3 linked regions of the Coturnix japonica genome follow. The protein of the gene in region 1 purifies or fractionates together with the protein of each later gene. This does not show direct contact. Links are inferred from orthologs where the notes say so. Each region holds a gene or a part of one and is shown on either strand. Other genes may lie near its edges. The genes, in order: KDM5B, RB1 and PAX9.

Region 1 (4,730 bases):
CCTGCTGCAGGCTCTGCTGGGCACAGCACAGTGAGCCACGGGGTGCACTGAGCCCGGCTGCTGGCATGGCTGGTCATTGCTTCCCATGTTGCTCATGGCTGCTTTAGCACCAGGTCTCATTTCCCTGCTGAAATAAAGGATGTGCAGCTTGTAACCCCAGCTCGTTTGTGCTGAGTGCACTGCAGGGACACATTGCATCGCAGGTGTCTTTCCCGGAGCAGAGCTCTCCCATTTCAGTAGTGCTGCGCATGTTATCTTCATTCTGTAATTAGTGATAATCAGATTGCTTTATAAGTAATAAATTACTGTCAAGTTCAGATCAAATCTAATGTAGTTCAGCAAAGCTGCCTGTTGCCAAACCACCAGCACGTGATCAGTGTCAAGAGATCTGAGAGATAAAGTTCCTTTATAGTCGTATTTACAAACAGCAGCGGCGGTTTGCAGGTATTTTGTTTTGGTGGTGATCCTCAGGTTTAATTGCTCGTGCTCTGGTTGCTCCCAAGTGTTTGCAGATGAGGAATGAGGAGCTGGAAGCTCTCCTGCTCTGTGCTCTGTGCAGGGCAGCCCCATTCACCTCCTACCCTGTTGATGAGGCACTTCTGTTTTCCCAGGACTGGCAGCCTCCATTTGCATGTGATGTTGATAAGCTTCACTTCACGCCAAGGATTCAGCGGCTCAATGAGTTGGAGGTAAGCTGTAAAGCCACACATTGCCATCTCTTTGGTTTTTTTCCCCTTTCATTATGTTTTTCGTTGCTATTGAGCTCTGTGTGACTTCAGCCAACAGCATTTGGTACCTCTGCACATCAGCTTGGAGTTAACACACAGAAATTTACGTGTTCCAGCAATTACATAAGGCATTCCAGCCATAAAAAGTGAAATTAATGCTCGTTAAAGGCACTTTTAAGTGGCTAAACTTAAATTCTCAACACTGTACCTTTTCTGCCCTCTTTTTGTGCATCTACAGCATCTTTTAGAAGTAGAAGAGATGAAACACATAGAGAGAGCTTTAAAAATAACAACCCGTGTGGAACAGTTAGAAAATGAGGTTGGTGCCAGATCTGTTTGTGAGCTCTTCCATTCAGTGCTGGCATCAACTCGGGCCTCAACAAGGCAGAGGTGGGAGCAGTGGGCAGGCAGGGGTGGCTGTGGCTGCACCAGTGCTGGGAAAGGGAAGCACAGCCTGCACGTGGCACGCTGCTCACTTGTTGTTTTCCAGGCCCAAACCCGAGTGAAGCTGAACTTCCTGGACCAGATTGCGAAGTTTTGGGAGCTCCAGGGCTGCACGCTGAAAATTCCACACGTGGAGAGGAAGATCTTGGATTTATTTCAGCTTAATAGGGTAAGGCTGCTAAAGGGGGAGCTCCCCTGGAGGTGGTGGTGTGATGTTGTGGCTTTCAGGAGTTGGGGCTGTATATGAGCTGGAAATGTGTTACTTTACTTAAGCTGGCTTAGATAATGTGATGAAATAATAGGAAATGTAATGGTGGGAGTTGTCACCTGGGCATGGGGATGAAATGAGATGTTCAGCTCTTCTGTGGTTGAACTTGGAAACAAACTGGTCAGGAAGAAACTTAAGTTTATACCAGGAAGAAGCTGCTGAACAACAATAGGTAGAAAATGCATTTCCATGAGGGGTAGGGGAGTGAAAAATCAGTCGCTTTTGAGATGGAGCCTTTAGACCTGTGGAGGAGACTGTGTGTCCTGATAGTGAGGGCTGGGATTCACCACCCCCAGGGATGGTTCTTTACCCTTCCTTTCATGTAGGGTAGTTCCTGTTTGGTTGGTTCTGAGCCCATTTCATGTTGCAGTGAGAAAAGTGGTTGTGGAGCAGGGGGAAAAATGCAGCCAGGCCATCCTGAGGAGTTGGCTGAGCTGCTGTTTGCTCGTCGCATGCAGTGCTGACTTGTCTGCTGAGCAATCCAAAGAAGGTTGCAATTCCTGACAAGGTGACATGCTCCAGTTACAGCTTCTACATAATCTTCATATCTTTTTATTTTAATTGATAGTTTTAGAGTCATAGGATGAGTTTTCTCTATTAAAGCAGTAACTCTGTTGTGTCTCTGTCTCCTTTCACCCTCACAGTGCGTTCCTTCAATGCCGATCACCTTAGTGTTAAACCTGCAGCTGTTTTGTTCTCTTTCAGCTAGTTGCAGAAGAAGGAGGGTTTGATGTCGTTTGCAAAGAGAGGAAATGGACCAAAATAGCCACGAGGATGGGATTTGCTCCTGGCAAGGCCGTGGGTTCACACATCCGTGCGCATTATGAGCGAATTCTCTATCCTTACAACTTATTCCAGTCTGGAGCCAGCCTGCTGGTAAGTGTGTTGTGTCTGAACTCAAATCCTATCCATGTCAGAGTGTCTCTGTTAATTTTGTGTCAACAGAGTCTTTCCAGCGCCCGCGTTTCATGCTTTACAGCATGCAGTTAATAGTGTGCAGTCTGTGGTGATGCTGCAAGCCATGTAAAGAGCCACAGGAAAGCTTGTAACCAAGAGTAATGTTTAGAGCTGCTGCTAAATGGGATTCCTCAAGGTAACCTCATGGCCACCAACTGGAATACAGCCTTCCTGTATTTCCTCTCTGTATCATACAGAGCCCCCCAGTAATGACTGTTCTTACCTCCAGTGTAATGGTTTTAGTGCTGTCTTCTGGGCTTTCCCTTTGTTGAGCTGTGCTCTCTCTTTGCTTGGACACTGCACTGAAACAAGGCAAATGTGGCCATTTGTTGCTTTCTTTCAGTGTTTCATCCTTACTTTGTTTAGGAAGAGCTGTTTGCCTTCTAGATATTTGCTTTCAAGGATCGTATGTCCTCAGTTACCAGAAGGAGTAGGAACCAGGAGGAGTAGTGAAGGTTCAGGTTTCACATGAGGGTGTAATTGGAGGCTCCAGACCTTAGAAGAGTGGTTAAATCCAGCAGCATTCTGCCTGCCATGGCGTTGCTCTCCTATTCTGTTCACTCCTTTTCATCTCTCCCATCTTCTGAAGCGCCATTTTTCCCTCTCTTCCCTCCCCATCTCTGTAATCTGTTTTTCAAAGTCCGACTTCTTTTGTTGTCTGCAGAGAATCCATCCCTGTTCTCTTATAGTTCCCATCCTCTTTTCTCTGCTGCTGATAGAGTTCTGGTAGGAGCAGGCTCCCAGCACTGGGATGTGGCTGCAGCAGGTTGGGTGGGCTGGTTCAGATAAAGAGACTCCTCCTTTCCTTACTATTTGTTCTCTCCTTTAAAAGCAGGATGGAGAGCAGGCAGCAGTGTGGCTGCACATCACCTTGCTGCTTCTTGTGTGCCAGCAGCACAACGTGGGGCACTGCCAGGGCTTCATGTGTGCAGCTGGGAGTGTAAAGCAGCAACTGCTGGAGGAGTGTTGGGGCTGCAGCTCAGGGTCAGAAATGGTTTGGAGTTTGGAAGTGCAGTTGTAGTTGCTGGGCAAGAAAAAGGGATTTTGAAACTTGTTCAAAGTGGGACTGTTAAAACTGTCACAAATATTGTTCCTATTAACTGAGCATAGTAAATATGAAGGCCCCGTTCTGCATTCTTTCACACAAGCCAACAAATTGCTCAGCACAAAGTTCTTAATAGGAGCAGGGAAAGAAGTGAAGCAATCGTATTTCCAATTGTGTCTCTGCAGTGTCTGCAGAAGCCGGATCTCACCAGTGACACGAAGGACAAGGAGTACAAACCCCACGACATCCCACAGAGGCAGTCGGTGCAGCCGTCTGAAAGCTGCCCTCCTGCTCGCCGTGCAAAGCGCCTGCGGGCCGAGGTGAGCTGTGTGAGCTGCCCCATCTGTGTGCTCCATGCTGACCCAGCTGGGAGGCATCACCCAAGTGGAGCTGACCCAGGGGTTAATGGCACGGCGTGTTGTTGTGATGCCGTTTGAGTTGGGTATCTCCCCAGTCATTAAAACATAGAACGGTTTGGGTTGAGGGGAGCTGGCAGTGGTGCAGCCCCAGCCCTGTGCAGAGCAGCTCTCACTACACTATCTGTTCCCAGCCTGTTCAGCCAGCCCTGCCCTCAGTGCAGGGGGAATCCCAATGCACACCAGTGGTAAATGGTGGTTTATGAAATAGAAACAGATGTAAATATCCATAGCTTTGTGAAGTGTGTGATGCTTGATAGAGGAAAAGAAGAAAATCCAAAACCAGAGCTCAGGCCAGGAGTTCTGAGGAGCTCCATCCATGGGTGGGCAGCCCTGAGTTGAAGGGGCAGCAAAGGTTTTCCCAAGCACAAATGCAAACCCAGAGTGTTCTATTTAAGGGTGTTATGGGCTTGTTCATTTTTCCTCTCTTAATTCCTTTTTTCTCTTCATCAGGCAACCAACATTAAGACTGAATCTGATTCTCCAGAGGCGAGAACTCATAATCTGAGACGCAGGATGGGATGTGCACCTCCAAAGTGTGAGAATGGTGAGCAGAGAGCAGTAGGGTCCTCTGCATTGCACAGACATGGTTTTAAAGCCAGGCTTTAATTCAGCAGTTGGAATGATCCAGCACTGGCTGACGCGGGTACTGCTGGTGTTCAGATGTTGCCTCGGTGTAACCAAAGCTGTGTGTGTTGGTGCTTTGCTGCCATCCTGAGATGGGGCAGCAGAGCAGCCGATGGATGTGGCTACACTGCTGGCACTGAGCACAGCGTGCATTGGGGGTGAAGTAAACAGAGAGCCCTGTGCAAAATGTAACATCCTATGGCAGTCTTAACAAGTAATAACAAGCAAAATAACTAATAACCAGT
Region 2 (4,730 bases), on another chromosome or scaffold:
GACAGTAACATACTTGGTTATGTATTGGATGAACAATATATATATCATATACTCTATATTATGTATGTGCATATATATATGTATAAATCTAATATTATATATGATACCTTAAATACTCCACTTTGATTTATGCTGATGAGGTGACTAAGAGAGATGCTACAAGGTCAAGCAGGACTAATTGAGGTGTTTGGAAATAAAATACTTTCCTTGCCTTTCCTTTCCCTCTCCTCTTTTCTGTACTTGACTAGAACTGCACAGTGAACCCTGAAGACAGTATCCTGAAAAGAGTGGAAAGCCTTGGACACATCTTCAAAAAGAAATTTGCTGAAGCAGTTGGGCAGGGATGTGCTGAGATTGGCTCACAGGTAAGTAGCATTTTGATTATTACTTGTTATAAACTTGATGCTAGCTAATGTGTGACCTGACTTACTACTTTGTCTTCAGTGCAGATTAACAATAGAAAGTACTAATCTTTTCAAGGAATGGATATGCTTTTCTTTTAATGCTCTGTAAAGATAGCATTAACAAGTGGTTCTTGTTAATGCTATGCTAATACTAATGCAAGCAAAAACAAAAAAGCAAGCCAAAAAACATAGGATTCTTAATTTTTTTTCTTTCTTTTTTTTTTTTTTTTTTTTTTTTTCCCTCCTTTCTAATAGAGATACCAGCTTGGAGTACGGCTGTATTACAGAGTAATGGAGTCTATGCTGAAGTCGGTAAGTTTCGTACTGATAGCTGTGTACTGGCATTGCATTTTTGATGGCTGAAAATAATCAAAGCTTCATTTATATACCTCAGGAAGAAGAGCGTCTCTCAGTGCACAATTTTAGGTACGTACCAACCACTGATCATTATTACCTGTTATTTTATTTTTGGGATAAGTATTAATGATTTCGTTTTCCCTTTAGCAAACTTCTGAATGATAACATCTTCCACACATCTCTTCTGGCGTGTGCTCTTGAAATTGTCATGGCTACATATGGCAGTAAGTTGAATCCAAAGTGCTAAGGAGCACTGTTAGTGATTGCGAATTATTGCTATTTATTCTAATATGTAAAATGCAGTAAATAGCAAGGAAACTAGCAATGATTTAATAAATACCAAACATGTGAGAAGTGAAAGAATGTAATGCTCTTGGTAATCGTAATCTGCTTCCCTTACAGGAACTGCTTCACAAAGTGATGGTACCAGTACCGAAACAGACTTGTCTTTCCCGTGGATTCTCAATGTATTTGATTTAAAAGCTTTCGACTTCTACAAGGTGATTGAAAGTTTCATTAAAGTGGAGCCAAGCCTAACAAGGGACATGATAAAGCATCTAGAACGCTGTGAACATCGCATTATGGAATCTCTTGCTTGGCAATCTGTAAGTAATGTTTTAAAGCAGTTATTTGTCCTTGTATAACATGCAAATCTAGAAAAAAATACACCTAGATATATAAAAGAAGTTGAAGTCTTGCTGAGATGTGTTTCTGGCAAAGAGCTAAAGAAGATCTTTAGTGTGTCTTCAGGTTTTGGGAAGAAAGAGAGAGATCAGCTTAGCACTGCTGAATTATGTGCCAGCATCTTTCAATAGTCTGGCATGGATATTAAGAGTAGTAATGCCCATACACAGTATTTTGGTGCCAGTAGACAAGGCAGTACATTCTATGCACTTATCTCTAAACTTCATCTGGTTTTTAGTCCTGCTTGACTGTAAGGCATTGTGCATCTGATGTGATTGTTAATAGTATTTAAAATCCCAATTCTCATTGTAACTTGCACTGAAATTCCTTCAACTTTTTTGAATGGCATCAAAAGCATTCTGGCAGGTTGGGTTTTGTGTTTCAGGGTGAATCTTCGTAAGTCAACAGCTGTTTCTTTATACTGTGTATTAGTTATGTACCAAAAATGCTATTAATGGTACAAAACAGGAGACTATAAAGGCTGCTGACAGAATGACATGAAGTGACCATTTAAGAACCCATATGATATCTTGTAGATCTGGGAAATTTAAAGAACATTATATGGCATAACTAATATGATATTCTACTGTGAACCAAGTTTGTATATGATTTTGGTTAGATCTTGGTGAGATGCACATGCCTCTCTGCTGCTGAATGCATAGAATTTCTTTGAAAAAGACTGCCTGAAAGCACTTGAAGATTGAGAGCTTTGTACCAGAGCTTATAGTAGCAGAGAAGATGAAGAACTTTGCTCAAAATGTTTAAAGAATGCTTTGCTTATTTGAGAATTTTAATGCTTGGAGGGTAATGACAGAGATACAAATACTTAAATTTTACTCTCCACAAGCAGAAAATGGCTTCTGACACCTCATGCAGACTGGTTTGATTCCAGCTTAATCATGAGCAGGAAGGCTTTAATCTACCAATTTCTACTCAGTAATCCAAGCACAACATGCAGATAATCTGATTCAGATTTGGGCTTTCAGACTGGAGAATCCAAAACACAGTGTTTTCAGTATTGAATCTGTTGTCTTGAGTTGCCTGAGGTGTTTGGCACTGTCTTGGAGTGGCTTATGCAGCTTATTTCAGAGGCTGTCAGTAGGTATCTGTAGAATTGCAAAAGCACTTACTTTGTTCCCTTCTTATATAATGCTTGGCCTGTACTTAAAACACAGCTAAGCCAACATCCTCCTCCTTGATACAGGCAGGCTCATCACTAGAGGGCACAGCAGGGCTCTCAAAAATGGAGGGTAACGTGCTGACAGCCAGCTATGTGCTGGCTGCAACTGGACTGTTACTCTCCACAGTTACCCTGTGACTCTGTGGCCTCCTCATAGGAGGTCCTCCCTTCCCTCTAGAATTACTATTACAGTAAATAACTTACATAACTGACAGTTACTATGTTGTTAAGGCTAGCTGGTTAATTAACATTTAGATTTAGACTACCTCAAGTACTCGGGTGCAGTTTGGGTTTGTAAGAAATTAGTGTCCAAAGGACGGCTATAAAGATGGTGAAGGGTATGGAGGGCAAGTGGTCTGAGGGGCTGCTGAGGTCCCTTGGTGTGCTCAGCACAGAGCAGAGGAGCTGATGGAGGCCTGATGGTGGCTGCAGCTCCTCACAGGGAGCAGAGGGGCAGCGCTGAACTCTGCTCTGTGTGACAGCGACAGGGCCCGAGGGTAACAGTTAAGCAAAAGGAGGAAGTATTTCAGTGGTAGAAGTCTGCTAAAGGCTTTGGATTTCCTCAAAAGATTGAGCTAGTGAATGAGTGGGTGATTTATTGTATTCCTCTGTGGTTTATTCTCTGGATGCTGTCTCCATGTACTGATGTGCAAGATGAAAAAAGTATAATCTTAATTAGTAATTTCCTCAGTAAAGGGTATGTAAGTTGAGATGTGTACTTTGTAAATGTCTCTTATCTCCAGATGCTATAAGGGAGCAGAATGGGTAGGTAACTTATGCTTAGTTATAATGCATGTCTTACAAGTGATTGCAGGCAGAATGGTTCATTAGGAGGTTTGTCTGCTCTTGGGAAGTCAAGTGTATCGTCTGTGTTAATCCAGTTTTTCTTCCTTCTGCTGACTGCTTTTGGAAGCAAGACTATAATGTGAAATTTGAAGGGATGGGGAAATTGAAGGGAGAATAGCTGATTTTATTGTAGTTTTACTTGTTTTGAGAGTTTTCATAAGAATGCTTTACATAATTTCTCTGAAGATAAACTCATCTAAAGAGCTCATCTAACCCTTATCTGACACTGGAAGCTATATGCAGTAAACGTGAAAGACTGAAGATAATACATTGCTTCTTTGCTAGTCATCATGAATACGCTTATTGCTTTTTGCATTGCTAGTTGATTTAGTTGTCTGTACATGAGGAAGGAGATCAAACAGCTCTTTTCCATTAAGGAAAAAAGAAATCATAAAAACAACAAACCAAAAAACCCCACCCCCAAATAGTGGAAAAATATGGAAAACTCTTCCCAATAATACTTAATTCTGAAAAGGGGCAAATGTTGACACTAAGTCATGCAGAAAGTATGGCATTTTCTTTAGATCTTAAATGAACCCTGAAGTTAGAAGCCCCTTTTATCCCAGTAGAAGTTATCCACAAATGAATTTGTGCTGCTTCCAGATGCAGATTATATTCAGACCAATTTGCTACATATTTTTTATTCATAAAGTATACCGTACTATCTGTATATTTAACTGTAAAGCATTTGTACCTCATCTCATTGAAGTATTTAGGGTGCTACTTACATTTGGTAACTTGATTTAAAGGGCCTAAAATTACTTCAGACTCAAAAATAAAGGTGTCTGTACCCCTTGATTCATTTTCACCTTATTGATGATATAAGTACATTTTAAACCTTGGAATGGTTGGTCTGTTTCCTATGAGAAACACTTTTCTATCAGATCGATATCTCTTGTGGCCAGTTTAAAAAAGGAATTGTTTTGAATATCTCAGATTAAAGCTATATGAATGCATTCCTGGATCTTTGAGTTTCCCTTTGAGAAAGCCCTGTTAGCTGCTGCACTGCATGTTTCACATTGCTGCTGTCTGCAGTGAATTCAGAAGAACCAGGGAGGAAAATCCATCTGGTTGTGTTTCCTGGCTTCTCAGCCATGAACAGAGCAGTTTTATATTATATTTGGCATACCTGAAGTCATACTTTAGTGCATCTACGTAAGCATGAAGAGTCCAAAGGGTATTCCTAGCAGGACCATGGTTTTATAAAGTTACCTGGTAGCTTCTGTGGTTAACAGACATGGGAGACCGCTGGATCGCCC
Region 3 (5,342 bases), on another chromosome or scaffold:
TTGTGAACACAATGGGCGCAGATGGGTAAGAAACTGTGAACAAGCGGCTCGGGCTCACGTCCGAGCAGCAGGGGAACACTGCTGAGTCGGGGACACTGAGTCCAGGAGTCGCGGGGCCGGGCTGGAACCGAGAGGATGCGTGGAGCTCAGCCCCGGTTTCACACCGTCGGGCTCTGGGAGGGGGGCAGCGGGAGGTAATGGGTCCAGGGCCCGGCGGCAGCGGCGAGGGAGCGGCCGGGGCTCCCGGTTGCTGTCCTTTGGGGAGGGCACACTGCTAATGCAGGTCGGCAGGCTCACGAACACGCACTCCTCTCCTTTGTTAAATTAAGTAATTAATTTAATTAAATGTTGGATCCGGGTCCCGCTAATTCAGCGCCTCCTGCCCTAAAACTAGTCGCGGCGGGTCAGGTCACCGCGCCGAGCTGCAGAGAATGAACGCGATCGCTTTCGGGTTGTTGAACTGGTATGTGCGTGTGTCAGTGCGGGGGACCCCTTCAGCAGAGGTGATGGGTCTGACTTTCGGAAGCGCACCATTTACGCATGTGGTGTTCCGAAGGTGCCCCTCGTGTTCCTGAAACAAACACAAAACTGCCATAGGAAATGGTTGAGTTGAATACCCGAAGAATGAACAGAAGGACACGCGAATATTCCGATCAAATGGAGAGAGATGCAAAATAACCGCGTTCGTCTTCTTTTCTCCACAAAACGTCTGCAACACACCAGGATTTTCTGGGAGATCCCCGTAGCATCGTCCCTATTTCTGACTGTGCGTTATGTGAAGGCTCTGCAATCTAGCTCGATTATTATTATTATTATTATTAATAATAATAATATTTGAAGTATCTTACAAAGATTTCATGTAATAAGGAGCGTTCATACACACCAGAGACGTTAGATCCGTATTTCAGTCGCCGATATTCCGTGCGCTGCCATCACCGTATCATTTCCATTCTCACGTTTTACTCCCTTTGTCGGACCTGGGTCTTTGGGAGCCTATGAAAAGAAACAAACAAAAACACTCAGGAAAAAAAAGTGAAAGAAATTACGGTAACTTCTTGGTCGAGGTTGGGAAGCCCGTGATTTGCAACAGACGTTGGATGCATGAGAGAAGCACATAGAGTGGGATCCGCGCACCCACTGCCAAACCAAACACGCCGTGACCCACGCACGCTCTAATTCCTACCAGCCTTGTCTGTTTTTCTTTTAACCGTTAATACGGAGCAGTGTCCTTGATAAAGTCGGAATGGGCTGCAGGACGAGTAGTTCAGCGCAGTGTATCGTTTGGCGAGGCGATTAAACCAAAACTCGGGGGTGTTCGGGCCGCGGGGATATACCGGGGGCCCCCGGCCCATCTCGTCTCGAGGCTGCAGCTGAATTCCCGACAGCTTCGTGGCTTGCACCAAAAATAATGTAACCGCCGCCGTTTGCCACCCTCTCCTGCACCACCCGTGATATGTTCAGTAGTCAAAAAGTGCTTTACTGTAAAGAGGGCTGAAAACAAAGACCTACTCTGCCAGATCAGCAGAGCAAAGACAGGAGAGCCGTATGCGTTCCCAGGCACCGTCCGCTTTCTACGCAGCCGCTTTCTGGGGCTGGGGAACCCGCGGAACGCCGGGCCCAGCCCCGACGCCCCTCACAGCGGTGCCCAGTACAATACCGGCTCCGCTCCCTAATTGCGCTAATTTCTCTTCGCGTGCGGCTTACCGCCTGGCAGGTATTAGGCGGGCGTTGCTGTTGCGGTAGGGACCAGGTGCTGAGCACGTCCGCGAGAGGCAGCGGAAGGGCCGCCGGCCCAGCGCTGTCCGTCATCTCCCGCGGCCACTGGCGGGGCTGCAGGGCCGCCGGGCCGCCCCCGGGGGCGGGCTCGGGAGCGGGGGGCTGCGGCTCCCGGCCCAGCCCGGCCCTGCCCACGTTGCCCTGAGGTTGAAATGCAGAACTCAAAGCTCTCTCGCCGGGAAGTAGATTTCCTCGTAGTCTTTTTTTTCTCGCCCCCCTGCCATCTCCTCGGAGGAAAGCAGGGAGTCCGGCGGGCGAGCGCGGCCGGGGCAGCGGGAGGTCGGGAGCCAGGGGCTGCGGTGGGGATTTAGGGCGGCCCCGGAGGTGTCCCGCTCGGAGGAATGGGTGAGTGCTGGGATCTTCGGGGGGCTGTCAAGGGAGAGGGAGACTCATACCCGCGCCGTCATGTGCCACCGCGGCTCCTTATTGACTTTATTCGTGTTTCTACACGTCGGGACAGCGCGCCGAGGGGCAGAGCGGGGAGGAGGAAAAGCTAATGACTGCTTGGTTTATTATTAATGTTATTATGCGGCCGTGAGGCAGGATCGCGGCAGAGTGGATGGCCGCAACCTGTGGCACGTTGTATATTATTCCTGACACCGATCGGAGCAGTTAACGTTTTAGCACGTTTGTTTTACAGCCGTCTGTAATCGTGCTGGTAAACGCGAGCAGCCCCAGAACTGCTCGGTACAACGCGGGGCGCGGGCGGTGCTGCAGGAGCAGCGCTGCCACCGCCTCTCCCTGATCTAAAAGAATTTCCTCAACTACTTTTCCTTCCTTCCCCTCCCCCATGTCTCTGAAAATGTTTTTCTTTTCTCTTTCTTTTTCTTTTCTTCGTGTTCCTCTTCCTGTGACAACAGAGCTGAACTTTCTGTCAGGGCGATCTCATTTTTTCATCTCTGGAATGTGCTTCCTTGGAATATGCTCGGTGCACGATTCGGAGAAATCCGACATTTGTTGCCACGGTATTCTTTTCTGGTGTTTTAGTATTATTTTTTTTTCTTCACTTTCTGTTCCTCTTTTTTCTTTCTCCCTCCCTCTCCCCCCCTTTTGTTTTAATTTCGGTGATATTCTGCTATTTGGGAACTCCGTGTCTGGGCGGTCGTTGCGCGATGACATCGGCCCATGAAAGCCCTCCGGAGCACAGCGCAGTGTCCGACGGCCGTGTTTGTGCTTGCTTGCAGAACCCGCCTTCGGGGAGGTGAACCAGCTCGGGGGGGTGTTCGTCAACGGGAGGCCCCTGCCCGACGCCATCCGGCTGCGGATCGTGGAACTGGCACAGCTGGGGATCAGGCCGTGCGACATCAGCCGTCAGCTCCGTGTTTCCCACGGCTGTGTTAGCAAAATCTTGGCTCGCTACAACGAGACCGGCTCCATCCTACCGGGGGCTATCGGAGGCAGCAAGCCGCGGGTCACCACCCCCACGGTGGTTAAACATATCCGGACCTACAAACAAAGGGATCCGGGCATCTTCGCCTGGGAGATTCGGGATCGCCTGCTGGCCGACGGCGTGTGCGACAAGTACAACGTGCCGTCGGTCAGCTCCATCAGCCGCATCCTCCGCAACAAGATCGGGAACCTGTCCCAGCAGGGCCACTACGAGTCCTACAAGCAGCACCAGCCGCCCCCGCAGCCCGCCCTGCCCTACAACCACATCTACTCCTACCCCAGCCCCATCGCTGCCGCGGGAGCCAAGGTGCCCACGCCGCCAGGAGTGCCTGCCATCCCTGGCACCATGGCCATGCCCCGCACCTGGCCCTCGTCCCACTCGGTGACTGACATCCTGGGCATCCGCTCCATCACGGACCAAGGTGAGGAGGGGACCCGAGGGTAGCGAGCTCTGCAGCGTCCCAGCTAGAGCCGGACACTGAGCTTCTGCGGGACATGCCCAATGATTAGGATGCAGCCAATGTTCGGGAGTGCTGCGGGTGTGATGGCAAACATCGGCCGTCTCCGGTGGCACCAGGGCCAAGCTGTACCAATTGTGGCCGCAGGGAGCGACCCGGGCCGCGCTCGGTGCCAGTGCCGGTGCGGCCGGCGGGTTCTCTGCCTCCGTCGGGCCGTAGGCGCCACCTCGGCGTTACCGAGCAGTCCGTTCTCTCTGCTTTTCGCAATCAGGCCAAATACGCTCAGGCAGGAAGTTCAAATGTCACCTAATTGCCTTAATTCTGATGCTGTATTTTCCTTCGAAGCGGTGGTCCGGGAAAACGAAACCCCGAAGGTTTGCTCTCTGTATCCCTTCCACCTTCTTTCTGTTTCTTCGTCTGGGAACCGCGTCGCGTCCCCCGGCCGTTCACTGCGCTTTGCCGCCGGGAAAGGGACATTTTTTCCATGTCAGTTAGTGCCAGGCGGCTGCTGTAGTTCCAGCAACAGTCGGGAAGAACCGCCGCCTCCAGCGCTCCCCGCGTCCCGCTCTGCCCTCCCAGTGAGCGGAGGGGGGAGGGGGGAAGTTGTCTTCTCATTGCGTTTTTTAACGGCAGCAGTCCGGTTCCAGAAGCACTTCTAATTCGAAGTGCTCCTTTATGTATTGCAGGTTAATTATCTTATTCCGACTTTGAGAAAACATTCCTCCCCCCTACCCCCCCCCCCGCAGGCAATACACAAGCACATAACTCTTATTTAGAAGTACACCCGAATAGTGTTTTTGCACTTATTCGCCCTCTGCTTTATGAACTGCTTCTGTACTCAGCGCTGCCACAAACAGATGTGTCTGAGTCGGCCTTAACAACACCCTCCTGACAGCGCTTGCTCTGGGCCGTGTGGAGGTGATGTTGGTAGTAAGCATTAAAGAAATGCAAACTGTACGATCACACTCGAGTCAAAATTGTGTAGCGAGCCCTCCTATTCCTGCCTCCAGCAGACACAGGCCTCTGCCCGCACGGCCGCCTCTCGCCCTCCCCGTCTCTCACAGCGGAGCCGCACGCGTCTTTCCGCGGTGTAACCCTCCCCCCTCCTTCCCAGCGCCGGGCTGGGGCTGCCGAGCAGCCGTTGGAGCCGATGGGGGCTGTTCGCCCTTGATTTATAGGATAAACTGACCTCTCTGACACGGAAAGGAAGCCCCTATTCATGGGAAAGTGTGAGATCAGCAGAAAAGGGCACTCACCGAGAGGGCTCAGTTTCTCAAGCCAGCCTCAGGTTGGTGCCCCTCCAGTGTCCAAAGGGCTTCTCAGAGCCACTCGCAGTGCGGGTGCGGCCCCGCACGCTACTCCGCTGGGGGGGGGGGGGGGGTCGTTGGGAGAGCAAGCACAGCCCGGGTCTCCGTGCCACGCCTGCTGCACGTAAAGGATAGGGCACTTTTCTCCTTTTTCCACCCTTTCCATTTGTTTTTCTTTTATTTTCTTCCCTTTAAGATCTCTCTCTCTCTCTCTCTTTTTTTTTTTTTTTTTTTTCTTTTTCTTTTGTGGTTTGTCTGTTTGCTTTGTCTTAAGTTTTGGTCCTCAGTGTATTTAGAACCCTGTGCGTTAGGTGGCCGCTCCAACTTTCCTTCTACAGCGGGCTGCATTTTGTCCACGGCCACACATAGGCGGCGATTCCTGTCAGTCTCTCTGGCAGAGTCCGGGGAGGTC

The links.
Region 2: the proteins of KDM5B (region 1) and RB1 purify together in Homo sapiens (affinity purification with western blotting; 3 studies listed by BioGRID). This does not show direct contact. The link is inferred for Coturnix japonica from reciprocal best matches to the Homo sapiens genes KDM5B and RB1.
Region 3: the proteins of KDM5B (region 1) and PAX9 purify together in Homo sapiens (affinity purification with western blotting, with the first as the bait; 3 studies listed by BioGRID). This does not show direct contact. The link is inferred for Coturnix japonica from reciprocal best matches to the Homo sapiens genes KDM5B and PAX9.

Annotation. Positions count from the first base shown.
Region 1 is NC_029541.1:934,490-939,219, forward strand, and holds part of KDM5B (lysine-specific demethylase 5B), read left to right. Parts: intron 1-611; coding exon 612-689; intron 690-1,218; coding exon 1,219-1,341; intron 1,342-2,145; coding exon 2,146-2,316; intron 2,317-3,627; coding exon 3,628-3,762; intron 3,763-4,311; coding exon 4,312-4,405; intron 4,406-4,730. UniProt on the Homo sapiens protein: Histone demethylase that demethylates 'Lys-4' of histone H3, thereby playing a central role in histone code. Does not demethylate histone H3 'Lys-9' or H3 'Lys-27'. Demethylates trimethylated, dimethylated and monomethylated H3 'Lys-4'.
Region 2 is NC_029516.1:151,039,166-151,043,895, forward strand, and holds part of RB1 (retinoblastoma-associated protein), read left to right. Parts: intron 1-248; coding exon 249-365; intron 366-659; coding exon 660-716; intron 717-798; coding exon 799-830; intron 831-908; coding exon 909-985; intron 986-1,163; coding exon 1,164-1,366; intron 1,367-4,730. UniProt on the Homo sapiens protein: Tumor suppressor that is a key regulator of the G1/S transition of the cell cycle. The hypophosphorylated form binds transcription regulators of the E2F family, preventing transcription of E2F-responsive genes.
Region 3 is NC_029520.1:33,284,376-33,289,717, forward strand, and holds the start of PAX9 (paired box protein Pax-9), read left to right. Parts: upstream 1-1,920; 5' UTR 1,921-2,117; coding exon 2,118-2,121; intron 2,122-2,960; coding exon 2,961-3,587; intron 3,588-4,879; exon of another isoform or gene 4,880-4,966; intron 4,967-5,342. UniProt on the Homo sapiens protein: Transcription factor required for normal development of thymus, parathyroid glands, ultimobranchial bodies, teeth, skeletal elements of skull and larynx as well as distal limbs.